Oryctolagus cuniculus: one gene and its partners. The protein of the gene in region 4 interacts with the protein of the main gene of each other region in a biochemical or structural test. Links are inferred from orthologs where the notes say so. Each region holds a gene or a part of one and is shown on either strand. Other genes may lie near its edges.

Region 1 (3,500 bases), on a different chromosome or scaffold from region 4:
TATAAACTGGGAGAAACCAGGTTGAATTTTTGCAGAGAACAAGTTGTGTCTTGGATGAAAGTTTAGCCATAAAATTACTTTTGTATCTATTATCTCCTGAGCTGCTTTTATGTGCCAAGTATTTTCTTAGATGGTGCACATATCCTGTTTCTGATCCTTGGATCAGTCTACAGTGTAGACTCTATACTCATTAGAAGGCTGATCCAGGTCTTAAACTCTTTTGCTGTGGAATTTCCTTTAACAGTGATTGAAATCTTCCAGATAAACATAACATAGCACAGGATTTTGATTCAAGTCGTGATGGTTGTTTACTGAAGAATCCTTTTCTCTATATCATTTTCTCTATATCATTGTTTTAGGATAGAAAAAGGGACATTTCACTATGCCAGCAGGAATAAGTAACAGGAATAACTTGAGAAATAAAACTGCATATTTTAAGTCAGAAAAATTATTTTAAATGACTTTATTGTGTGTCACACAAAAAGGGGGGAAAATATAAGCAAAAATCAGATTTCCTGAAAGGAAAACAAATTATTAGAAGCTTTTATAGTGATTGCTTTTGAATTTTAATGCATAATTCTTGAAATAAAGGAATAATAACTTTTTTGTATGTACTTTTGTATTTTTTAGGTCAGCAGCCTTGTTTTACATATTGAAGAGGCCCATAAACTCCCAGTAAAACACTTTACTAATCCATATTGTAACATCTATCTGAATAGTGTCCAGGTAGCAAAAACTCATGCGAGGGAAGGGCAAAACCCAGTATGGTCAGAAGAGTTTGTCTTTGAGTAAGTCTTATTTTATTGTGACATTACATAATTTTCTTTTACCACATTGCATTCATTGCATTTTCTTTTCTCTTCTGGTTCTCTGTGTATGTAAGCTGTTAAAATAGAATACCAAGTGTAGGTGTTTTATTAACACATAATTTGTTTTCAGTTGTATGTTTACCTTTATTAGTGATACACTATCCGTGCCCTTGCTTGTTCACCTATTAGTACAAAGTAGTGTAACTGAAAAGTCTAGAAACATTGACTAGTCCACACATACAAGGTGTTTACTAGGGTTTCTAGGATTTAAGTTGAATAAATTATTAATTTAGAAGTTTAAAGTTGGTGAGGAAGGTGTATAAGTTGCTTGTCTGTGTTCTTGTTTATGAAATTAAAAAAAATGTTGTAAATCTAGTTTTAAATCCAGCACACTTTTTTTTTTTTTTTAAACATAAATAGGGGGCTTGATACCAGAACTATTAAGTACTTCAAGTAGTTTAATACCAGAACATCGAACATTTTGTTAATTCTTTTTCTTTCTTCTTGTTTTAGCGATCTTCCTCCTGACATCAATAGATTTGAAATAACTCTTAGTAATAAAACAAAGAAAAGCAAAGATCCTGATATCTGTAAGTTGATACAGAAATTCTTTCTAAAGTTAAAAGGCATGCTTTAAATAGTTTTAAAGGAACTACAGCTTAAGATGGAAATAAAAAAAAGCACCAGTGTAAAATTTGAGAATTTTTCTCTGTTACATTTTAAGTACCTAAGAAAAAAAGACCAAAATGGCTAAACTACAGATACTGTGAACTTGGTCCCCTAAAAATAACTTAAGCATTCTTCCCTCCCCAGTAAATAGGAAGAATAAGAAAATGGTAACTGTGGTCATCTTTCTATCAGGTTTCTTTCCATTCCAGCTTTCAAATTTTTATATTTTTTTTACTTTCCTGTTTTAGCATAATAAAAAGTAATCTGTTTTTAAAAATTTCTTTAAACTACAGTGTGCTATTTATTGAATTCTGGTAATCAGGTGCTCCCAATTCTTTCTCTAAGCAGCACACCTCTTCCCAGCCCGCTGCTAAGGCAGTTGGCAGTGGGATTTTAGCAGCTCACATCAGGCTGAACTAGGTTAATACCTTCTTAAAACTCAGCTTAGTGAAGGAAGCGATATACATAGACCAAATACATTAAGCAAGATCAAAGCCTGAATTTTTCTCCATAAGTAATGTTTATTCTGTAATTTCGATGCTGTTTAAATGTTTAACATTTTTAAAGTCATTTCTCATGACTTTTATGATAAAATCCAACTCTCTAAGTAATGACAGAAGCAAGACCACACCCTCTGTCTGGACTGGTTTTTCCCCCTCTACCGTTTTCTTAGCTATACTTCCAGATCTTGCTACAAGTCATCTCAAGGGTTACCAATTGGGAATGGATTTCTAGCTGTCTGGGCTGAATCAGATATGATTCTTCTGAACTGCAAGAGCATTAACCACTGGTGTAGCACTTAGCACCCAGTACTAGCACACAGCTGGTAATCAGTAAATGAAGTAGCAACTCACTATCCAACTTCTGATATTCTTAACGTTCCTCTAAAAGAAAGGATTGACACTATAGAGACTGTGAGCATCAGGAAATTTTACTTGTGTGACTAAGTAAAATGTTTTCTTCTTAGTAAGCATTTGTTTTTCTTTCAAAGTATTTATGCGTTGCCAGTTAAGCCGCTTACAGAAGGGGCATGCCACCGATGAATGGTTTTTGCTCAGCTCCCATATACCGTTAAAAGGTATTGAACCAGGATCCTTGCGTGTTCGAGCACGATATTCTATGGAAAAAATCATGCCAGAGGAAGAGTACAGTGAATTTAAAGAGGTATTAAGTATTTACTGGTCTAATCACTTTTGGTGGAATATTTTTAACAGAAATATTTTAGTTAATATAATAGCTATTAAGTTAAATATTGTAATTTCATAGCTTAGTGGTATACTGATAGCCAGAGGAGGTAAAAAATATTGCAGTAGGTTAATTTTGGTCTTAAAGGACTAGAAATATGTACACTTCAAGCTCATTCTATTTATTTTAAATTTTATTGGTTTGTTTTCATTTAATGTGAAAGGCAGAGACAAACAGGGATCTTCCGTCTGCTGGTCCACTTCCCAAATCCCCACAGTAGTCATTGCTGGGCTAGGCCACAGCTGGAAACTCCATGTGGGTCCCTGGGTGTGGCTGGCAGTGACCCAAGTACTTGAGCCATCATCTGCTTCCTCCCAGGGTGTGTGTTAGCAGCAAGCTGGATTGGAAGTAGAGAAGTCAGGATATAAAGCAGCCATTCGGACATGGGATGCAGGCATCCCAAAGAATGACTTGTTTGCGATGTCAAATGTATGGCCTTATTTTTAATAAAGTATTCATTGCAACGTATTTCTAAGTGTAAAATTAGGAAAACATATTTCATGTTTCTGTGAGAATGGTAAATGCTATAAGTACTTTTAAGTAGTCTTTCTGGTGTCATTTTTAGCTTATACTGCAAAAGGAGCTTCATGTAGTCTACGCGTTATCACATGTGTGTGGACAAGACAGAACACTACTGGCTAGCATCTTGCTGAGGATTTTTCTTCATGAAAAGCTTGAATCATTGTTGTTATGTACACTAAATGACAGAGAAATAAGCATGGAAGGTATAGTATTGGTGTTAGTATGATACTTTTAAAATTAGTTACATTTCATTAT
Region 2 (3,500 bases), on a different chromosome or scaffold from region 4:
TCCATTCTGAGCTGGACTGGCAGGTCTCCGGTTTGAAAGGATCCAGGGGGTTTTAGCAAATGCCCCTTGCTGCTTGGGCTCCTCACATTGAGTGATCTGAGAATCTGTCCCCCCACACTCACGTGGAAGTCTAATCCACAAGGTCTTGTGTTCATGGTGCTAGGGGGCTGGGGACTTGATCCAAGTGTGCTGCTCCCCGGTGGAACCTTTGGGCAGTGATTAGATTGGATTAAATCATGGCGTGGAGCCCTCAGGATCAGATCCTAGTGGCTTTATAAGGAAAGAGGAGATATAAACAGACATGTATGCTCCCACCACGATATGTTATATTCCAAAAGTCCTTTGCCAGAGCCTTGCTATGTTATTTGGAGCCAGCACATCTAGAAGCATGAGCCAAAGTAAACCTCTTTATAAAGTATCCTTTCTTGGGCATTTCATTACAGTAACAGAAGCTGACCGACACTCCCATCTTTGTCTTGCCCCAGGTGGACCCCTGCATGTGCCCTTGCATCTCCTAAGGGGCCAGCACAGCCATGGCCAGCAACACGGTGGACAGTGCCAACCACCTGCCCTTCTTCTTCGGCAACATCACCCGGGAAGAGGCCGAGGATTACCTGGTCCAGGGAGGCATGACTGATGGGCTCTACCTGCTGCGCCAGAGTCGCAATTACCTGGGCGGCTTTGCCCTGTCGGTGGCCCACGGGAGGAAGGCGCACCACTACACCATCGAGAGGGAGCTCAATGGGACCTATGCCATCGCTGGTGGCAGGACACACAGCAGCCCCGCCGAGCTCTGTCACTACCACTCTCAGGAGTCCGACGGCCTCATCTGCCTCCTCAAGACGCCCTTCAACCGGCCCCCTGGGGTGCAGCCCAAGACCGGGCCCTTTGAGGACTTGAAGGAGAGCCTCATCAGGGAGTACGTGAAGCAGACGTGGAACCTGCAGGTGAGGTGTGGCCAGCCCTGAGTTCATAGGTCCCTATAAACCCACACGTGCAGAACCATGGTGCATGTAAACCATACCACAGCGCCCAAATCCGTGCATAGTTTTTTCGTAATATGCATTTCCCATGAACTTTGAAGATCCCATGTGTGCATGGATTTCAAAGTATTTTGCACAAAATTTTTTTTTTTTTAATTCTATCTTCTGCAAACCTATTGAAGAAATCTCCCGGCAACCATTTCCGTAGTCATCAACCCTGGCTCCAAATGCTCCAAGAAGACTGCCCTTCCTCTGTACAAACACAGCCCAGAGAGTGGGCCCCTGCCCTCCAGCCACGTGGGTGTCTCCACTGCAGGAAGCCATTCCCCTGCCACCCAGTTCATGGCGGGCCCTTTGGGAGAGGCATGGCTGGGCATCTATTGTTATTTATTCTCCTAACAAGGTCATGGTGTGCCCGCTGTTTGGAACCAGATTTTTTTTTTTTGACAGGCAGAGTGGACAGTGAGAGAGAGAGAGAGACAGAGAGAAAGGTCTTCCTCTGCCGTTGGTTCACCCTCCAATGGCCGCCACTGCTGGCGCGCTGCGGCCGGCGCACCGCGCTGATCCGATGGCAGGAGCCAGGTGCTTATCCTGGTCTCCCATGGGGTGCAGGGCCCAAGCACTTGGGCCATCCTCCACTGCACTCCCTGGCCACAGCAGAGAGCTGGCCTGGAAGAGGGGCAACCGGGACGGAATCCGGTGCCCTGGCCAGGACTAGAACCTGGTGTGCTGGCGCCGCAAGGTGGAGAATTAGCCTAGTGAGCCGCGGCACCGGCTTGGAACCAGATTTAATAGCTTCCTAAATCTCTTGCAGACATTTCTATGTATCAGTTACCCTGTCTTTGGTTGCCTGGCATTGCCTGTTGTGTACCAAATTTATTTAGCTAGTCCTTGTTGATGGACATTTTTATGGTTTGAAAAATAATTCTCCTAACAACAGTATTCTGTCCCCATCTTAAACTAAGCTTATGTGCAATGCCTGCCAGATAAACTCTAAAAAGGCTAGGTTTGTCACAGCCCAGGGTATGAGTGTGTGTGTGTGTGTGTGTGTGTGTGTTTAATGTGGATACATTGACGAGTTCCATCTACAAAGGTGACAGAGGTTGTAACCATTTGCGCTCCTGCCACATTCATTCTTGATAGTATTTGGTGTCAAGAGCCAACAGTTTAGATTGATAGTCTCTTCTTGGACATAAGTGCTCAACCACTTCTCCTTGTGCTCCCGGGAGGTCTGTCTTGTGCTTTGCTATGTATTTGATGCATGCTGATTTATGGCCATATGGATCCTCTGAGGACGCCATAGAGACTCCGTTTATTCATTCAGTATGGCCTGTGTTAAATTCAGCCTCGCAGAGGGATTTTGCAATAATGTACTCAGTATTTTTCATTCGTATTCATTGGGTATGTCTTAGGCCATGCATTTATTCTTTATTAAGTCAGGTAAGTCATATTTCTTGGGTGGAGTTTACACACAGTGAATTGATCCGTTTTGAGTGTGCAGTCCTATGATCTTTGACATATGCCTGGTATCACATAATCCCTACATCGTCAAGGCAGGCATTAGCTCCCTCACCTTCATCTGTCCCAGCTCCTGGAAACCGCTCATTTGATTCCTGTCCCCACCGTTTCGCCTTTTCTAGAATGTCACGTAAGGGGAATTCCACAGCATGTAGCCTTCGCAGAGTGGCTTCCTCCACAAAACGCGATGCGCCTGCTATTCAGCCGTGGCATTGCCGGTGCCCAGGGCTATGTCTGGCCTGTGATCTACAGCCATGTGCTTTTTCCTCCGTTCACCTTGTTCCGCGTGCCCCGTGGTGTATGACTGTCGCCGTCCTTGTCTCCCTCCCTGCCTTCTGCCTCCCTTCTTCCAGCTCCTGCTGTGGGATGGCAACAGTTATGTTGTTAGTGCTTCTCTTCTCCAATGCGAGGAATCGAACTTTGGCTCTTCAGTGACTAATGAGATGATCTATGTCTCTCCCACCGAAAAAGACAGAGAAACCAAATGGCGTGGCTGCCAGCCCCTTCCCCCATGTTGGATTTCCCCATCGTTAAGTCCGCATGGTCAAGGCTTTCTGCCATCATGCGTGTGATCCCATTTCTTGCAGGTGCAGGTGCAGGCTGGGGTGGGGGAATGAGTACTCGGGGAAGCCACACGCGCTTTCCTTGCAACTGCCTGGAGGTTGCGACACAGGACAGCCAGGCCATCTAGGCTGCAGGCAGGAGGCCGCGCCCTAGACCTTGTGGGTTATACCAGGTGCCATGCAATAGCTTTTGACAGGCCAGTCTCCTTATTCTACAATCTGGTTTTTTTTTTTTTTTTTTTTTTTTTTTTTTTTTACTATACTCTTGAGGATACTTAAGTAATATACAGGGAGTCTTCAAAGTTCTTGGAAAATGCATATTATGAAAAATCTATTCATGGTTTTCCAGGTTTTTTTTTTTTTTTGCACCAGAAAATGGTATCTTAATTCCATTTCCATGAGGATCCTCAGATAAAAGTCTTACTGTTTGTATTTA
Region 3 (3,500 bases), on a different chromosome or scaffold from region 4:
AAAAGTGAGGGAAAAAAAGTTGATGAATAAAAGGCCAGCCGAAGAAGACAGGGGGTGGGCTCATCAGCTGGCAAATCTGACAATAGCACAATCAGAGAAGCACTTACCTTTCCAGGGAAGCTGTTCAATAAGATAAGTAAGATGGCCTTCATCAGTGCTTTATTTCCTTTATTAATAGCCTCTGCTCTGCATATTTTCAAAAGGAGTATTTTAAGACAAATTAGGTAAATGAAGCTTTCAAACACTTTATTAAAATGTGGAAGACCATAAATGATTCAAGATAGCTGTTTTCAAAAAAAAAAAAAAGCTCTCATAAAAGCACATGCAAACATGATTCATGTGTTTAGGATTAATCCAGAATGAGCACATTCAAGAGTAAAAATTAGCTACACATTTTATAACTTAAACTCAAGCTTCAAATAATTAAAAAATAAGAAACACATGCATTTTTGTCTAGAAAGTAGGCTTTCTGGAATCCTTTACAATTTAAAGTGATGCTCTTAATTCAAGAAATAGCAAACCATGCCCTATACCTTATCGTGACTGTACTCCACCTTGTGCACTCCCACAGCGTCGATGTTCAGTGTTCACAAATCGGACCTTGACAGCACATGGGGAGTAGTACTGTCTCTCAGCAGTCCATTAATTATTAACCAAGCCCACCAACACGCATGTACAACCTGGAACCCCAATTGATTAGTTCACAATAAAGCTCAGCCTTTTCCAGTAGACCAGAAACCACAGTATTTGTTACTTCATTCTGCCTCTAAAGGCAGACCTACCTACACATGGGGAATCTCACTTATCATGTATTTATCCACCTTTATTGTTGTTTTCTTGTGCAACTAGACAGTGAGCTATCCAAGGACAGGGATCAAGTGTTTTTATTTCTCTACCCACCGCCCCGTGCCCTCTTATGTTTGTTGGCTGAAGCAATTCAATGAGCCCTGAAGCAACCCAACATAAAATCAATCACTCAAGTCATGCAAATACAAATGTGAAAAGAAAATACTGCATAAAATTCAGACTCTCACTTAGCTTTCAATCACTTGGAATTGTTAAAAGTTAATGTAACCGTAAGCTTTCCAATGGGCTTCTAGGGATACCTAAGAGGGAGGTGCTTCCGCATGACTTACTGGAAGACCTGCAGCTGCTGAGGTTGCCCTTTAAATCAGGTTTCACGTGTAGTGGAAACAACCTGCACAGAGGCAAACTAAAAGATGAAAAGTACACTTCACCGGATTTGTAAGTTTAAATCCCGGAGCATCAAATATAGTCAATATTTAGAGCATATTTTTAATTGTGGGATTTTCAACTCCACATTAGTATGTAGATGATTACTGTACTACATCAGAACACTAGGCAAGAAGGTGGCTTTCAGAATTAAACAGAAACGCTTTGCTATTTCTCTAGTCCTTACTTTAGCAAACAGTACACAGCTTCATGAATCCCAAAAGAGCCTATGACACCATAGCTAATGGAGAACTGCATATGCCAAAGATGAAGGCTACTAACCAACATCCCTCCATACAGTCAAAGCGAAACAATTTCAAATCGGTAACTCTCAAATAATATTTCACTAAAAATGGTGCTTTTGACAAAAACTGAGTATTATTTTTATTTGTATTTGGCAAGAATTGATATCAATCTCTTATAAAGTATTCATTGTGCTTTAAATTGTTTCCCATTTGTAAATACAATAACTGAAGATAACCTAGGGAATTATTTTTTTTCCAATCCCCATTTCAAAGCTCTTCATTATCTACAAAGCCCATCTCAGCTTGAACATCAGGCTAGATGCTTCCATTAGAGGACTATGATGGTTTTAGAAATGCATTTGTAGCTCACTGAACTGTATTATCTACAATATATAAGACTTAGCATATATTTAAATTACTGAATAAAGTACAAGGTGTTTTCTTTTTCTTCATGGTGCTTTCAGGCATACATCAGGATCTTCTCTTCTCCCTAAAAAAGTAATAACAAAACTCAAGAAAAGATAAGCATTCAAACTATTTACAGCATAAGTTAACTCAAATGTATAATCAAATTTCCTACTGTATAAAATTTACAACAATATAACACGATGATACACCTTAAGCAACTATTATTTAAAACTGAGTTTTGAAGAATGGAATACTGGGCAGAAGAGAACAATTAGCCAATTAGAGTTCTATTTATATTTCCATTATTAAGGCTAAGTATTCATTAATTTAATTTGCCACTTGAGTCTAATTGTCAGTTTATGCCTGAGTCCCTGTCAAAAAATTAAAAGGACATAATGATTCATTTTCTTTTATCATAAATATTTATTGTTTCAATCAAGGCATATCCTCTTACTCCAAACAAATGATTTACCCCTTTCTTTTTTTTTTTTTTTTTTGACAGGCAGAGTTAGACAGTGAGAGAGAGAGAGAGAGAGAGAAAGGTCTTCCTTTCATCGGTTCACCCCCCAAATGGCTGCTACAGCTGGCGCACCGCACCGATCTGAAGCCAGGAGCCAGATGCTTCCTTCTGGTCTCCCATGCGGGTGCAGGGCCCAAGCACTTGGGCCATCCTCCACTGCACTCCCGGGCCACAGCAGAGAGCTGGACTGGAAAAGGAGCAACCGGGACAGAATCCGGCGCCCCAACCAAGACTAGAACCAGGGGTGCCAGCGCCACAGGCAGAGGATTAGCCTAGTGAGCCGCAGCACCGGCTATGATTTACCCCTTTCAATAGAGGCATACAGTCACGTTTCAGACCATTACAGGCATCTGCAGGTATTCATTTTAGCCTGACATACAAGCTAAAATAGCTTTGCTCAGGAGTTATAGCAGTTTGTGCCAGTGGAATAATAAAGTCCACTAATTTAATTTTCTTTACCACAATAAAATTTCATTAATTAAGCAGTACCAATTCAGACATCAGGATCACATAGACCAAGTAACATTAGCCTTTATATCCCTGAAGGGGAAAAAAAAGTTTACTAAGCAAAGGTAAAGAACAGCCGAGATATTCCCTGAAGTATCCCATCTTTCAAATTGCTAGTGTCTGAATTAGTAAAGTGAAATAGGACTTACATACCTACAAAGGGACTGAGGAGAATAAAATGGAACAATAGGGATTAAAATGTAGTGGGTTTACAGAATTGTTGACATTTTTGCACAGCTTTATTAAAAGTTTGTAGTATAGCATGTTGAAACTATAGCACATAATTACCACTCACTTGATCTTCCAGCTACCTCTACTTTCTCATTGCATCTTTCCTGAAGAACTTCTAAGTGATTGTATTGTTATAAATAGGTTAATACATAACCCTGAACTTCCAAGCCCTGTCAAAAAATAATAGTAAACCCAAATCTGTAGTACCTTGTGTACTTCGGGCTGAGGACTTCTCAACTGGATATTGCAGAGGTATTACAATGCCTTGATCTGGCTTCTGAAATGCTGAAATGAGATTTTTTATTTTCCGGAAAAATCGTTTATGTACCCCAGGTGCTGTCTGAAAAATAAAAGGC
Region 4 (3,500 bases):
GGCCCTAGTTGGGGGTGGGGGGAGAGGATAATCAAAGTTGTGGTCCTTTCCTAACTTCTCCTTTCTGAGAAGGGAAAAAAAAATCCCCTGTGTCTTCCCGCTCTGTTAACCCCTTAGTACCCTAAGGTCATACCTGAGAGGTGCCTGGTCACAAAAGGAGATCTTCCCACATTCCCCTTCAGAGTGGCAGGGGCATCTGGGGCACCCCCAGGCCTCCCTGTCTACCCCCAGCTGGGAGGGTAGAAGTCAGCTGCCCTCCAGTGCTGTTGAAAGTTGGGGGGAAGAGCAGGGCACCCCAGGGGGCGGCCTCCGGGCTGAACTTGGGTCCAGCCTGGCGCCACTCCCACCTCCGCTGCCGACAGTGTGTCCTGGGACTCTGAACGGGCTGAGCGTGACTGGCGATGCCGAGAACCAATACCAGACACTGCACAAGCTCTATGAGAAATGTGAGGTGGTGATGGGGAACCTGGAGATTGTGCTCACCGGACACAATGCTGATCTCTCCTTCCTGCAGGTGAGTGCCTGCTTCTGCCCCCCCCCCCCCGCCTCCTTTGCTTCTGCAGGACCACCCCCTGCTGGAGTTCAGTATGCCCAAGACACAGTAGTTCTGAAGATTTAAAACCTGTGCGTTTATGTGGACAGTGACTGGAACCTGGGATCTAGGGCCTGGGCGTTGATGCCAGGGACATCACAGGGGCCACCCATGAGAAGGGGGCAGGGCAGGTGGTGGGCACAGGGGGTGCAAGGTAAGGAGGACCAGGAGGCCCCCCGGGGAGATGGGGAAGAGACTCAGCCAGGATGTTCCTGGCATGAGGGACTCTGAGAAGAAAAGGGTAAGATGTAGAGTTTCTCAGTCACTTCTGCTGTCTTCACGCACAGCAGTGACACACTCATGTGACACAGTCCTTAGAAAAAATTAAGAGTTAATGATTCCTCAGTGTCTTTAAATGGGAGAAGAGGTAAAGATTATTATTTTTTGTATAAAGATTTATTTATTTGAAAGACAGTTGGGGCTGGCGCTGTGGCTTAGCAGGTTAAGCGAACTTCTGCAGAGCTGGCATCCCATATGGGTGCCAGTTCAAGTCCCAGCTGCTCCACTTCCAATCTAGCCCCCTGCTAATACACCTGGGAAAAGCAGTAGAGGATGGCCCAAGTGCTTGGGCCCCTGCACCCATGTGGGAGACCTGGGAGAAGCTTTTGGCTCCTGGCTTTGATGTAGCCCAACCCTGGCCATTGCAGCCATTTGGGGAGTGAGCCAGAGGATGCACGATCTTTCTCCTCACTCTCTGTAACTCTGATGTTCAAATGAATAAATACTTAAAAAAAAAAGAAATGGAAGACAGTGATGGGTAGAGAGGAGAAACAGGAAGAGAAGTACCTGCCATCCACTGGTTCACTCCCCAAATGGCCACGAGAGTCGGGTCTGGAGCAGGCTGAAGTCAGGTGCCCGGAACTCCATCCGGTCTCCCACATGAGTAGCAGGGGTCTAAGTACTTGGGTCATCCTCCGCTGTCTTTCTAGGTGCCTTAGCAGAGAAGCTGGGATTAGAACCAGCATTCCTATATGGAATGCTGGCATCAGAGGCAGCCACTAAACCCCCTGTGCCCCAAGGTCAGCCCTGGGATTGGGATTTTTTGGTTCTGCCATCCCTCTCATTGACGCGCTCTCCATCACAGTGGATCCGAGAAGTGACGGGCTACGTCCTCGTGGCCATGAACGAGTTCTCTACGCTACCCTTGCCCAACCTCCGAGTGGTGCGCGGGACTCAGGTGTACGATGGGAAGTTCGCCATCTTTGTCATGTTGAACTACAATACCAACTCCAGCCACGCGCTGCGCCAGCTCCGCTTCACTCAGCTCACCGGTCAGTTCTTGAGGAGTCCTCTGGCCTTGCCCCACAGCCAGCCTGCTGACAAGGACCTCCTGGAGGAGGACCCCTGCCTTCCCACTTTAGGTGCCCCTCTGGGGCACCCCGCAACCTTGGCCTCTGTGGTCTCAAGACCCCCTGGGGGAGGGCCTCACAGCATGGTGGGCTGGAGATGGAGCTGCACTGTTCCCTCCTTCCCCAGGAATCTTTGCTTCCTCTCACGTCTATAGGGTTAAATATCACCTAGTCCCAGTCAGTTGGAAAACACACACACACACACACACACACACAAACACGTAGGCCTCGGGAGAGGGGGTGTTGAGTCAGAGATGTTCTCTTGCCTCCTTTCCTTTCCCTTCCCCCACTTGCTAAACCGGATCTGGACAGGTGTCTGAGGAGGCAGGAGTTGCTTTTCCGCCTGACTCCTCCTTTTCTGAGGCGAGCCGCTTCCGTCGCTGAGATTTCGCTGGACATATCTGTCTGCCCGGTGCCCCCTGCCCCCCGCCTGCTCCAGAATGGCCTTTTGGATGGGAGCCGGGGGATGGTGGTGGAGAGGAGAGGATGCCACAGCAAGTAGCCCCTAACCCTGTCACTTCTCTTCCCTCCCTCAGAGATTCTGTCCGGGGGCGTTTATATCGAGAAGAATGACAAGCTTTGTCACATGGACACGATCGACTGGAGGGACATCGTGAGGGACCCAGGAGCTGAGATAGTGGTGAAGGACAATGGCCGGAGCTGTGAGTGGCCGGGGTTGAGCCCCCCACCCCCAGACAAACCAGAGAGACTCCCTTCCCTGCCTCCTGGCCTCCCTGCTGAGTAAACTCCTGGGGCTCCAGAGCCAAGGGCCACACAGGAGGGACTGGGTCCAGTCCCTGGAACCCAACCTAAGCAGCTGAGGAAAAGGGGCCCAGAGCTCTCCGTGTACAAAGCAGAGGGACCAAGTTTCTGGACTCCTTTCCTGCACACGCCCTACCTCCCCTGACCACGATCTGCTGCTCCCTGTTCATTCACACGCATGTATTTAGTTTGCCAAGGAGGAACCAGGTTCCTGGGTTGGGACTGGGGCTGAGGTTGGCATTGGCCCCAGCCCCTCCCCTTCAGCTGCCCAGTGGGTGGTGTGGAGGCGTGGCTCCACCCCTTGTTGACAGGTTCACTGGAGCCCAGCCCTGCTCTCCAAGGGCAGGGAGGGGACACTGCCCTGCCTCTTTGTTTCCCGGGCCGAGGTGCCTGTGTGCTGACATCATAGGCTGTTGATTCAAGCAAGCGTTTCTGAGCCCTGATGGCCTCTTCTGTCGCCTTCTTTCCCAATCAGGTCCCCCGTGTCACGAGGTCTGCAAGGGGAGATGCTGGGGTCCTGGACCAGAAGACTGCCAGACACGTGGGTTTGAACTTCCCTCGAAAACCCTCAAACCCACAGGCTTTCATGCCCCTGCCTACCCAAGCCCGTGTCAGCCCTGAGGCTGGGGATGGGCAACGCCGTAGAATTCAGTGCTTTCTCTCCTTCCACAGTGACCAAGACCATCTGTGCCCCTCAGTGTAACGGCCACTGCTTTGGGCCCGACCCCAACCAGTGCTGCCATGATGAGTGCGCCGGGGGCTGCTCAGGCCCTCAGGACACCGACTGCTTCGTACGT
Region 5 (3,959 bases), on a different chromosome or scaffold from region 4:
CTCTCCCTCAGCCTCGCATCTTTATGATCCTGCTGGGTAGGTTTTTTTTTTCTTCCCACACTGCCGTGGGGTAACAGATCCCGCCTTTGATTGAAATGGAATCTTCCACTATTGAGCGAGCCTTTGTTGAATGAGTCACCGGGGCGGCCGCCCATTGGCTGAGGCCCGCCGGAGCCCAGGGGATTGCCTGGCACCGGCTGCAAGGCCCTGCTTCATTCACAGAATCGCTGGCTCGCTCGCTAGCCCTTTCATTCACACAAACAGCATTCATTCACATTTTGCTGCTTTTGTCTGCTTCTAATGAAGATCACGGTTTGGGAATGACAGGGCTGTTTTGCTTCAGATTTGGGGGGGGACTTTGAGAAGCATCAACATCGTCCATGGGGTGTGCCTTGGCTGTTGCTATGCAGACCAGGGACAGGGAAAAAATGAATGCTGGGCGGCTGTTGTGCCAGGGCTGCGGCACCGGCGGGGAGCTGCGGGGACGCGTTTGCTGCGCCGGGGACGCCGCGGCTCCTCTGCGCCCGTGCGTCCGCGGCGCCGGCCGCACCCGCGCGCTCGCCGTGAGCCTCGCTCCCTAAGCCCGGGTGCGCGGAGCCCGGTGCAAGGACTTCGGGTGGTGCACAGGCCCAGTTACGGGCGAGAGAAGACTCAGGGCGGGTGAATGCATTTGCTCGCCCCAAAGTTGCTGGAAAACTTTGACAGTCTCCACGGTGGAGCAGGTTCTCTGAATGCCTGAGAAGACTGGCAGAGCCTGCCCAGGAAGGGGCCGGCGGGCTGCAGAGTCCTGGGCGAATATTCTTGGGGGCTTTGGTTGACTGGCAGGAGTCAGGCCTGTGCTGGCGCTGGCAAGCCTGAGCTGGGCTCCTGAAAAGAAGGCTTTTTTTTTTTTCTTTTTTCCTGTGGATTTGATGTGCAATGAGAACAACCGCATTTTTTTCCTTCCTGACTGCAGGGTCACAAGCAGCAACCGAAGGCACACACTGCAATGTATTGGTGGCGATCCTCAGGCGTTTTTCCAGAGATGAAACACATTCAGTTGGGATAAAGCTTCAAACACAGCTCCCCCTTTTTTGGGGGGAGTGGATTTCTGGAGCCTGTTACCCCTCATCAAAGGAGCATTCTTTTTTTTTTTTTTTTTTTTTTTTTTGGAAGTAGACATTCAGTTTAACCCTGGCTGGAGAAGACGCCTGCAAATGAGCAGGGAGGCCCCTTGATTGCCACTGCATAGAAGTTCATAGGCAGATTTTCTTTCTTTTTGGAAAAACTGCATTGCCACAGACACTCGTCATGGCCGCTGTGTGGATTGGAAAATAAAAAGAAAAACCCAGGAAACTGGTATTTTATGTTCACCTGGGGGGTGAATATTTCCTTTTTGTTGTTGTTGTTTCCTATCCAAAAATTCCTGCTGCCTTTCCAATCAGAATCCAACCGGATTCGCTCAAGGCTTATTCTTAAAAAGCCTTCGTCACGTTTTAACCCGTCGCCGTCACTTTCGCAGGCTCACCCAGAGGCGCTGAGCAGGGAAGAGGCAAACCTAACCCAGAAGAAGGGGTTTCACCAAGTCCCTGTGCTCCACCTGAGGACCTGGATTTACCTTTGGCACAGTCGCCGGGTGGAGGCGGGGGGATGGGGAGGTGAGACACCAACGGTCGGAAGGAAATATCTGGGGAGGTAGAAAAAGGCAGTTTGAGAATTGATTGGCTCCAGTGTGCTGACTGCGCGTGGATGTCGTTTTTTCTCTTCTCTCTCTCTCTCTTTTTTTTTCCCAACAGGAAGTGATTTGCAGCGCTCACGAGCCTTTGTTGAGAAGGGTCTCCTCTCCCAGTGAGTCTGATTTCGCTGTGAGCAGCCCAGAGCAGCTGGGCGCTCCATCAGAGAGCAACTATGACTTTAGCAGAGCGAACGTGCAACCCCAGGCAGCGGGCTCCGGGGCCCGGGCTGCGAGGCCGCCGCGGCGCTGGCTTCTAGTGGCGGGAGGGCACCGCGCCCCGGCTCTGTCGTCCCTCTCCAAGAGGCTGTCCCGGGACCCCCAGGTTCTGTCCCGCTGCGGGGCCCGCGGCTCGCCTGCTATGCGCGGCAGCCCGCGCCGGGGCCGGCACCAGCAGCGCCCGGGCGGATGTGGCGAGTCCACGGAGGGGCATGCTTCCGCGCACCAAGTACAACCGCTTCAGGAATGACTCGGTGACATCGGTCGATGACCTGCTCCACAGCCTGTCGGTGAGCGGCGGCGGCGGCGGCGGCGGCGGCAAGGTCTCGGCGGCGCGCGCGACCCCCGCGGCGGCGCCCTACCTGGTGTCCGGCGAGGCGCTGCGCAAGGCGCCCGACGATGGGCCCGGCAGCCTGGGCCACCTGCTCCACAAGGTGTCCCACCTGAAACTCTCCAGCTCCGGCCTTCGCGGCCTGTCGTCGGCCGCCCGGGAGCGGGCGGGCGCGCGGCTCTCGGGCAGCTGCAGCGCGCCCAGCCTGGCCGCCCCGGACGGCAGCGCGGCCCCCGCGCCCCGCGCTCCGGCCGTGAGCATGAGCGCCTCCAGGAAGGGCCGGCCGGGCGACGAGCCGCTGCCCAGACCCCCGCAGGGGGCGCCGCACGCCAGCGACCAGGTGCTGGGGCCGGGAGTCACCTACGTGGTCAAGGTAGGTGCGCGCACGGGCCCGACGAGGGCCACCTCGGTGGGGCAGGCAGGTCCGCTGCAGCCTGGGGTGCGGGGGGCGCCCAGGACTGCCGCGTTCGGGGCGGGCAGTCGCGCGGCGCTCCTCAGTGAGCTGTTCGCTTGGCAGCCGCGAGGAGAGAACTACAAATGCGCCTTTTCCGCCTCGGTTGGGAAGAAGTGGAACGGTTGGGTGACCTCGCCCTGTCCTGGTTGCTCCCGGGCTCCACTCCTTGCGCGCGCCTTCACCGCCTGGCTTCCTCCGATATCTGGCCAGTGTCCCAGGCCGCGGCGGTCTGGCCTACCTGGTGTACTTGGAACACGCTAATAATACCTGTGCAGTCCCTGGGGTTACAGGTGCAGGAGTGTCACTACTTCTGCTGTGTGCTCCCCTGGCGGTAGGGGATCGAGAGGGGTGAGGGGGTACGTTTTCTTCCCCCCAAAGCCAGAATCCCCAGCCCCGGCAAGCCAGGCCAAACGCTGTCATGCTTTCTCTTAAAAGGGTTCTACTTTCTCCCTCCGCAAGGCTTTCTCTGGTGTTTAAGTCTTTCACCAGGGTCGCTTTTGCTTTACCACAGCAAAAAGACCCTTTGGGATGTTTTGGGCAGTGACTGTGGTCTTCCACTTAAATAGGTTCACCGGGCAGGGGGCGCCGCACCAGGCAGGGTCTACACAGGCCTGTTCCCCCTCCAGCACAAAGAATTATAAAAGGAGGATAGAGTCAGTCCAATTCCTGCCTTATGCAAACACGTTCCCCTATTTAAGGAACTCCTCAGCCCAGTTCAGTTACTGTGCCCAACACCAGTTGCCTCCTGTCTGCCAGGTAGCAGTGAGCTGCTTTACCCCTAGGCAAGTGGGGGAAGGATCCAAATTGTCATTTCAGTCCTGCCACTCCAAGGCGTGACTTTTTTTATTGGAAAAGACACACACTCTCCGCCCACGGAGTGCTGGTAACATTGAGAAGCCAGCAGGATGTAAACACTGGCTCAGACCCAGTGTAAGAATTCACCAGAATGTGTCCCCAGGTATGATGTAGGACCGTGGGCATTTTGGAGCCAAGATATAAAAAGGACGTGGTTCACTTTGTGGCTAACTGAATGTGACCACTGGTGTTACAAATTGGGTCCCTTTCTCTTGTGAGTCTGTGTTTTAATTTTACCTGCATTTTAGCTTCTGATTTTGGATTGTTGTGTTTTACCAAAAGGGATGGAGATCAGTATGAAATATGCACATTTGGTCGGGTTTATCTTAAGAGGAAATGAATACTAATCTTGCATTGCTTATTCAAATTATGTAACCAAGGGCCAAAAA
Region 6 (3,482 bases), on a different chromosome or scaffold from region 4:
CCGGGCCCCAAGGGGAAGGGTGGCACAGCCCACCTGCCCTGCCCCCTACCTTGGCTCTGCCCTGGAAGTTGAACGTGAGCACGTACTCCCCACGCCGGGACTCACTCTGCCGCACCAGGAACACTCCGTGAGCACCCGCGCCCTGCAGCTGCACCAGCTGTGCTGCCTTCACTCTGGATATGGGGCCGTGGAACCAGGGGTAGCAGGACAGGAAATGATCCGTCTTCTGGCAAGCTGGGTCCAGCAGCCCCCCAGGAGCAGCAGCTGGGAGAGAAGATGGGAGGGGCCGGTGCTGTGGCACAGCAGGTAAAGCTGCCACCTGCGGTGCCGGCATCCCACATGGGCCCTGGTTCGAGTCCCGGCTGCTCCACTTCCAGTCAGCTCCCTACTAATGCACCTGGGAAAGCAGCAGTGCTTGGACCCCTGCCACCCACGTGGGAGACCTAGAAGCAGCTCCTGGCTTCGGTAGCCATTTGGGGAGTGAACCAGCAGATGGAAGATTTCTCTCTCAAATAAATAAACCTTAAAGAGAAGATGGGTTGACCCTGGACCGAGGCTCCACTCACCTTGGTTAGGGGCGTCTGTGCTTCCCCTGGGCGTGCTGGGCTCCAGGGGGGAGGGGACACGTGGCTCTGAATCGCTGTGCCCCAGCCTGCTGGAGAAGAGGCCACACGTGACTGGGGGGCGCAGGTTAGGGCAGAAGAGGCTGTGCCAGCGGCAGGGGTCTCGGGCCTCACCCTCGGCCTGTGCACGCCCGGAGCTCGGCCAGCCACGAATTCAGCTGCTGCTCGTCCCCCACCTCGAAGATGATGTCTGTCCGCTCCTTCACCTGGCAGAGGGAGGGAACAGCTGTCGGGCTGAGGCATGTCCGCGGGGGCCTGGGCTATGCACAGCTCTATGACCCACCTTGAGCACGAAGGTGTGGAGGTTGTCGGGCATCTCCAGGCGTGTGCACCGCCGGACCTCCTGGATGCTGGAGCAGGCTGCTTGCAGTTTGGGCTTTGAGCTCTAGGAGACCAAGAAGGGGCACTCAAGACGGGTCCCTGGTGGCAGGCACTCTGTCCACCCAGGCCTGCACAGGCGCCTGCTGTGTGCCATCGATGAACAGGCCTCTGACACCCCACACTGTGGCCTCACTGGGCAACACCCAGGGCTGCAGAGTGGCAGCACCGGCCGGGTCCCCAGGGCCTGCGGGCACCCAGCTACAGCAGGGCTGGCCCTGCAGACCCCTGCCCCCAGGAGCCTGCTGCTGCCGGGTGGGCATGGGCGTTGTCTCAGAAGGGGTGAGCCAGGCCCCACCCCCCCACACCCATCTTTTCCTTCTGTGATAAGGCGCCAGGAGATGGCTGATGACAGAGGTCGGGGCAGATTAGAAAGGGGGGTGGACAGGAGGCCGCAGGGCCCCCTCTCGCCAGCACCTGCTTTTCTCACGGACCACGAGCTAGCACGGAGGCCCCAAGATGTGTTCCTAGCACCGTGGCTTCCGGCGCTTCCAACCGCCACCTGTCCCCAAAAGGGCTCCTCATGGCCAGAGGCTGTCTTTCGAAAGGTCAGTCCCAAAGCCGCAACTTCATCGTGCCTCGGACACAGCCACCAGACGAGGACCACGACCTCGGCCTGGTCCGGGCCCTCTCCACAAGGGGGCCGATGGCTGGGGAGGAGACGGGGTGGCCTGGCCACAGAAAGCTGACCACACCAGGGCCCTTCCCGGGCTGGGCACCCCTCAGCAGGGTGGGGGCAGTAATGTGCTAACAACCGACAGAGGAAGGAGAGCAGCTCCAAGAATTTGGCTCAAATCACAGCCCATGCTGCCACTGCTGCGGCCAGGAGGGGGCAGGGCAAGGCCCTGCAGCTGGACAGGCTGGGCAGGCGGGGGGGGGGGGGGAGGGCTGCTCTTAGCTGCTGGCGCAGTTGACCAACCCTTCAAAGCGTCCATTTCCTGTCTACAAAGGGCTTCGCCCCTTCTTGTGCAGCTGACCCTGCCTGCCCGCCCTCAGGAACCCTACCAGGAAGTCTGCCAGGCCTGGGCTCCCTTTCAGTTCCGCTCCTGGCCCAGGCCCAGTGTGAGCGCCGAGATTAACCAGCAAAGCCGCCGCTCTCACTCTGTGGGGCCCCTCTCTGCCAGCTCCTCCCCCCACAGCTGCGGAACTGCTGAGCAAGCAGACTGGGGAGGATTCCCCTCCACGCCCTGGCCGCCACCTGCCTGCAGGCTGCTTCCCTGCGGGCAGCAGCGCCACCCAGGTAGGTCGGCCGCTGAGCTGCCTGGTGGCGGGCGGCTCGGCCACGGACTCGGGTTGAGGGAGCGAACGAGGCGGCAGAACGTTCCGGCACCTGGCGCAAGTGCCGCTTCTGGGGCGAAAGTCCTCTGCTCCCGTTGCAGCGACCGCCGCCTCGGTTCTTTCTGCGCTGTGGCTGTCGGGGAGCTCCGAGCTCCGACACTGTCCCAGTTCTTGGGAGGGCTTACCCCGCACTGGATCGTTCTCTTACCCTCTAGGTTGTCGGGGCCAGCCCTGACCCTGCCACTTCCAGGGCAGTCCTGAGCAAGCTGCTCTCCAGTCGTCGTAAGGCAGAGCGCGCTTCCTGGGGTTGCTATGGTGACGGGTGAGCCAGTGTAAGTGAAAGGCCTCATTCAGTGGGGCAGCCCGGGACGCACCCACTCTCCCCCACCCTGCCCTTCCTGTCACGTGCCCCTTTCCCATCCCGCAGTGACAGTCACACGGGACCCCACAGTCCTGCCCGACTGCAGGCAGTTTCTGCGAGATCAGCCGCCTTTCAGAGGGCCTGCGGCAGACAGCGTGTTCTGAAAAGCAAGGCGAGCCTGCAGGGAGGCAGAGCCGTGCGTGCTTTCACGGGGACAGCCGGGCGCTGGCTCTGGCTCTGCCCTCTCTCGTCTCTCTGGAGACCTTTGACGGTACGCACAGCTGTGCCCAACCCTGGGGCGTCCGTGGCTCTCCGCCCACCTGGGGAGGGCTACCCCCGCTCGCCTCCTGGGAGTGAGGGTCCCAGCAGTTCCATTCTAGCAAGGGCTGGAACTTGGGGGTAGCGGTGAGGCCACGGGCACACGGTGCACCTCGCGGCACTGGGTGATACTGCAGAGACCCTGCAGGGTGGGGTGGCACGCTACACACAGGCAGGACCTGTGTCCTGTGGCAGCCCCAGAAGCCATGGAGTCACCAGGTGTGGGGGATCAGCAGGACTGATTCTAGGGCAGGAACTGGAGAGACAGAAGAGGACACAGAGGGCCTGGCATGAAGACCCCAGCGTGGCTGGCCATGCCAGATGGGATCCGGCGACAGCCCCAACATGAGAGCACCCTCGTCCCCCCCAGGGCTGTGCGGCCTCACATTCCTCTCGCGCCCACTGCCCGCGGCAGACGGGGATCTCGGATGAGGCCCTACAAGCCTCAGAGGAAGCCCCGGGTCCATGCCACCAACAGCCGAGTCACCCGTGCAGCCCAGAGCCTGGTGGGTAAATGGACGAAC
Region 7 (4,163 bases), on a different chromosome or scaffold from region 4:
CACACCATGATTTCATTCTCTGGCCTCTAGAATTTTGCGACAATCCATTTCTGTAGTTTGACGACTCACAGTTTGTGCTAATTGTTATAGCAGCTGCAAGAAACTAATATTCCAAGTGAATAAAGTAGGATAGAGGAAGGCATTTCCATTATAATCTCAACTGTATGAAGAGATGTATGGCAAAAATTCAAGAGGAACTCATCAACATGTTAGTAATGTAATGACATTATCATAGTCTTGTTTGCACATTTAAGATTTATGTATTTTCCAGATTCTCTAGAATGAGTACTGTTTTTGAACTAAAAAATTAAAATACATCCCTTTGGGTTCTGAAAAGCCATATGTGTTGTTATGTTAATTGCTGTAAAATTTACAACAGAAAAATTGGAACCAATATAATATCTAATGTTTGATAATGGTTAATTAGATTCTGGTTTGTTCTGACGGAATTAAGCTTCTATAATTATGACTATTATGTAGTAATAAAGGAAAAGTTTTAGCAAAACAAGGAGACAGCATAGCTTAATAGTTAAGCTTACTGTAGGCACTAGAAACTGAATGCATTTTAAAAGACCTGCTTTTTTAGTAACTATGCACCTTGATAATCTCTTTGCTTCTTGATTTTCTTATCTAAGGAATAATAAAATGGAGTTAAAGGTTATTTGAGGTTCAAATGGCTAATACTATACTTGTATTTCATCTATTCTAAGGAACATGTTTTCCCATATATATGTATGTTGGTGTATATATATATATACATATACATATATATAATATATTAATTTGAAAGGCAGAGAGACAGAGAAAGATCTTCTAACTGATGATTCACTCCTCAAATGATGGCAAGAGGCAAGGCTAGGCCAGGCTGAAGTTGGGAGCCAGGAATTTAATCCAAGTCTCCAACAAGCGTGGCAGGAATTCAAGCACTTAAGACATCATCTGCTGCCTCCCAAGGTATATATTAACAGGAAGCTGGAATGGCAAGTGGAGCCAGGATTCGAACCCAGGAATCTCCATATGTGATGCCGCTGTCCCATACAAAGTCCTAACTGCTGGATGTGAGGGCGATCTGGCTGCAACATCTGTCACCCCATTGATCACCAGGGTTGATTCGGCTGATCTGGCTGGCTAGGCGACTGTCCCCTTCCTCCCTCACTGCTCCATGTGCGTCTCTCCTGAAGTTGCGCCCTTGGTCAAAGAGGACGACCTTACCCGCTAAAGGAGGACCGGTCTTCAGTCAAGGGTTTACAAGTAGCTGCACTCCCCTGCCAGAACCTCCAAACAAGCTCTCAAAGTCCTAAGTGTTGCACCAAACTCTCATCCCATTTCCACATTTTAACTTCTCTGATACTGTACTATTACTTAAAATTGATGGTTTCTTATAGAAAGGGATATATATGTGTATATATGCATATGTGTATGTATGTGTATATATGTGTATATATATGTATATATATCTGACCATCACTGTTCATGTGGTTCTCACATACATTGTATTAGTACATAAATTACTACATAATTTGAATTTGTCATTTTAAAATGCCTTAACAACTTTATTATGATCCACCATGGAAACAAAAGTTATTCTGTATGGATAAAAGCACAGAAATAGAGCAGGAGGTCTTAAGTTCGATATTTGGCAAGGCAAGCATTTATCTTTGCAGGAGAGACTGCAATTCTACATGTTCATGTGAAGCAACCACAGAGAGGAAGCTGTGACTAAGACACAAGCTTATCATACAGCAGCCAATGTCAAGAGAAGCTGAAACAGCTTGTAGTAGACAAAAGCAATGAGAGGCTGATATGACCAATGCAAGCCTTGTGCAGAACCATCACTCAGGTGTCAGGCACCAAAGTGTCAGAAACCTCCTGTTGACTGGAGACAGAATTGCTTCACTTCCAGAGATACGTGGTTCAGTTGGAAAAAAAATCATCATGTTGTTTGTGTTATAGTTTAGTAGGCAGGGTTTTTTTTTTTCTCAAGTTCTTTCTTAATGAGACACAAGCTAATGATGCCTCTTAAAATCAAAAACATCTTAATTTCAATGGAATATCATTCAAAGAATGATATTCCTGGCACATGATAAGCATGTTCTAAAGGTCAGGTCAGTTATAGGTCATCAGAACAATAAGCAGACTATAAGGTGATGCCTACATATTCCACTGTAAGAATCAACAAAGGTTTAGAAAGGATATATAAAAATGCAAATGATATCTTAGATTGGTGGTTTGATGGATATCTTCTATTTTCAATTTGTTACAGAAGTGTGCTGTTTTCTTGCAACTAAAGAAATTTTAATTGAAAAAATGTATTTCATGAGCATGGTAAAAAAAAAGTCAACAATTTAAGGGGTCTATAAATGAAATATAAAACTTTTCTATCCCAGACCCCATTTTTGCTTTCCCAGAAGCGATTACTGACTGTATTTTCATATGTGACCTTCAATTTGTGTATGTATAAACAATCAAACATGTAAATGGCTGTGTCCTTATACCAATGAAAGAATACATACTATTCTCTTTTCATTTTGATGTTAATTTTATATCTGAATTTTGTCCCAAAATTCATATAAATCTTCATTTTTCTTGACATCCACACAGTATGATTCTTAGTAGGAAACAGAACCCATTCTAGATAATTCAGACAGAAAGGGATTTAAAGCAGGAAACTGGGTACTTACAAAATTGTAGGATGCAGAAGATAGGGGCCTGCTACTGGATGTCAGGTTCAAGGGCACACCACATGACCCAGAGGTCAGCAAACTGCTGCGGCTTCCACTGCTTGAGCCCTTTAAGTGCCTCTGTTCTTCAGCTGGTGCCCAGTCACTTGACTGCTGCATCCGGGCCAGAGGCTCTAGATTATGATAACGCTGATAACCAGACAACTGGAATGCTGAGTCTGGCCACAAGCACCAGTGAACGAGATAGTAGCTCTGAGGAAGGAGGCGGCCCCACTGACTTCCTGTTTCTCATCGCTGGAGCAGTCTCACCGAGTCTTAGCCGTGAGAGGCCTGGAGACAAGTAGGCTCTTCCGTGGAATGAAAACATAGACAAGGGTTTAGAAATGGATGTGGAGTGTTAATTCACCACCAGCAACACAGCGTCCTACCGTACTGTTATTTCACTGGTTCCCACCGGGGGAGGCAAGGCCTTGTACTTAGGCCTAGATTACAGTTTTGCCAGTACAGCGAGCCAATGTGCATCTAAATCTAACTTTGAGCAGTAATACATTTTCTGGGGCTGGCGCTGTGGCGCAGCAAGTTCATGCTCTGGCCTGAAGCACCATATGGCTGCCGGTTCGAGACCTAGCTGCTACTCTTCCCATCCAGCTCTCTGCTATGGCCTGGGAATGCAGTAGAAGATGGCCCAAGTGCTTGGGCCCCTGCACCTGCGTGGGAGATTTGGAAGAAGCTCCTGGCTCCTGGCTTCAGATAGGCACAGCTCTGGCTGTTGCAGTCATCTGGGGAGTGAACCATCGGATGGAAGACCTCTCTCTCTCTCTCTGCCTCTCCTCTCTGTGTAACTGACTTTCAAATAAATAACTAAATCTTTAAAAAAAAAAATAATGCATTTTCTCAGTAAAACTGGTGGTGGTGTAGTTTAGTAACAAAGCAAAAACTTGTCTCACGCTGGCTGAAGCACAAAACAGTGTTAACAGTGCCATAATTTCATCAAGAGTAGATTTTTTTTATTATTTAAATTGCTTAGACATTTAGTCCTGTAACAGTTTACCCATCCAGAATTGTACTCCACGTCCTCATTGGCTCTCCTGGCCTTGAGACACTATGAAATGCTTTAGAAAAACCTTTATTCTTCCACTTTAAACCCTCGAGAAACGTCAGAGTTACAGCTTTGGGTGTCCCGCCTCCGCCTCCTATCCTGCTTGGGTTCCTTGTTTAGCAGCCCAGCAACTGGGAGGAACCCGAAGAGGCTCAGCAGAGCCACGTGATTACCACCTGTGCCGTGCAGAGGCGGGAGGAGAAGCCGTGGTTAGCATTCTTGGAGTGCATGCCAGAGGCCAAGCCTCCTTCCTTCATTGAATTCTCCGGATGACTTTGTGAAGAATAGGCACCATTGTGATCCCCATGTACAAATGGACAGGGCGAGGTGAAGAGCTCGTCCAAGGTCACAGTGCTAGTTTTGGAAGGAAGCTAGACTTGCCA

What was found.
Region 1: the proteins of ERBB3 (region 4) and RASA1 form a complex in vitro, tested with the Homo sapiens proteins (2 studies listed by BioGRID and IntAct, with this or other methods). The link is inferred for Oryctolagus cuniculus from reciprocal best matches to the Homo sapiens genes ERBB3 and RASA1.
Region 2: the proteins of ERBB3 (region 4) and SYK form a complex in vitro, tested with the Homo sapiens proteins (2 studies listed by BioGRID and IntAct, with this or other methods). The link is inferred for Oryctolagus cuniculus from reciprocal best matches to the Homo sapiens genes ERBB3 and SYK.
Region 3: the proteins of ERBB3 (region 4) and SH2D1A form a complex in vitro, tested with the Homo sapiens proteins (2 studies listed by BioGRID and IntAct, with this or other methods). The link is inferred for Oryctolagus cuniculus from reciprocal best matches to the Homo sapiens genes ERBB3 and SH2D1A.
Region 5: the proteins of ERBB3 (region 4) and SHC3 form a complex in vitro, tested with the Homo sapiens proteins (2 studies listed by BioGRID and IntAct, with this or other methods). The link is inferred for Oryctolagus cuniculus from reciprocal best matches to the Homo sapiens genes ERBB3 and SHC3.
Region 6: the proteins of ERBB3 (region 4) and SH2B3 form a complex in vitro, tested with the Homo sapiens proteins (2 studies listed by BioGRID and IntAct, with this or other methods). The link is inferred for Oryctolagus cuniculus from reciprocal best matches to the Homo sapiens genes ERBB3 and SH2B3.
Region 7: the proteins of ERBB3 (region 4) and FER form a complex in vitro, tested with the Homo sapiens proteins (2 studies listed by BioGRID and IntAct, with this or other methods). The link is inferred for Oryctolagus cuniculus from reciprocal best matches to the Homo sapiens genes ERBB3 and FER.

The regions. Positions count from the first base shown.
Region 1 is NC_091445.1:10,280,050-10,283,549, forward strand, and holds part of RASA1 (ras GTPase-activating protein 1), read left to right. Parts: intron 1-630; coding exon 631-788; intron 789-1,322; coding exon 1,323-1,399; intron 1,400-2,469; coding exon 2,470-2,642; intron 2,643-3,288; coding exon 3,289-3,448; intron 3,449-3,500. UniProt on the Homo sapiens protein: Inhibitory regulator of the Ras-cyclic AMP pathway. Stimulates the GTPase of normal but not oncogenic Ras p21; this stimulation may be further increased in the presence of NCK1.
Region 2 is NC_091432.1:139,310,811-139,314,310, forward strand, and holds part of SYK (tyrosine-protein kinase SYK), read left to right. Parts: intron 1-485; 5' UTR 486-533; coding exon 534-947; intron 948-3,500. UniProt on the Homo sapiens protein: Non-receptor tyrosine kinase which mediates signal transduction downstream of a variety of transmembrane receptors including classical immunoreceptors like the B-cell receptor (BCR).
Region 3 is NC_091453.1:102,156,218-102,159,717, reverse strand, and holds the end of SH2D1A (SH2 domain-containing protein 1A), read right to left. Parts: intron 3,485-3,500; coding exon 3,352-3,484; intron 1,969-3,351; coding exon 1,928-1,968; 3' UTR 221-1,927; downstream 1-220.
Region 4 is NC_091442.1:58,882,812-58,886,311, forward strand, and holds part of ERBB3 (receptor tyrosine-protein kinase erbB-3), read left to right. Parts: intron 1-362; coding exon 363-514; intron 515-1,676; coding exon 1,677-1,863; intron 1,864-2,477; coding exon 2,478-2,603; intron 2,604-3,178; coding exon 3,179-3,244; intron 3,245-3,375; coding exon 3,376-3,494; intron 3,495-3,500. UniProt on the Homo sapiens protein: Tyrosine-protein kinase that plays an essential role as cell surface receptor for neuregulins.
Region 5 is NC_091432.1:137,986,897-137,990,855, reverse strand, and holds the start of SHC3 (SHC-transforming protein 3), read left to right. Parts: upstream 1-1,159; 5' UTR 1,160-1,637; intron 1,638-1,644; exon of another isoform or gene 1,645-1,775; 5' UTR 1,776-2,142; coding exon 2,143-2,634; intron 2,635-3,959. UniProt on the Homo sapiens protein: Signaling adapter that couples activated growth factor receptors to signaling pathway in neurons. Involved in the signal transduction pathways of neurotrophin-activated Trk receptors in cortical neurons.
Region 6 is NC_091452.1:8,875,179-8,878,660, reverse strand, and holds part of SH2B3 (SH2B adapter protein 3), read right to left. Parts: intron 1,009-3,482; coding exon 907-1,008; intron 830-906; coding exon 738-829; intron 656-737; coding exon 567-655; intron 265-566; coding exon 50-264; intron 1-49. UniProt on the Homo sapiens protein: Links T-cell receptor activation signal to phospholipase C-gamma-1, GRB2 and phosphatidylinositol 3-kinase.
Region 7 is NC_091445.1:31,373,146-31,377,308, reverse strand, and holds the start of FER (tyrosine-protein kinase Fer), read right to left. Parts: upstream 2,801-4,163; 5' UTR 2,682-2,800; intron 1-2,681. UniProt on the Homo sapiens protein: Tyrosine-protein kinase that acts downstream of cell surface receptors for growth factors and plays a role in the regulation of the actin cytoskeleton, microtubule assembly, lamellipodia formation, cell adhesion, cell migration and chemotaxis.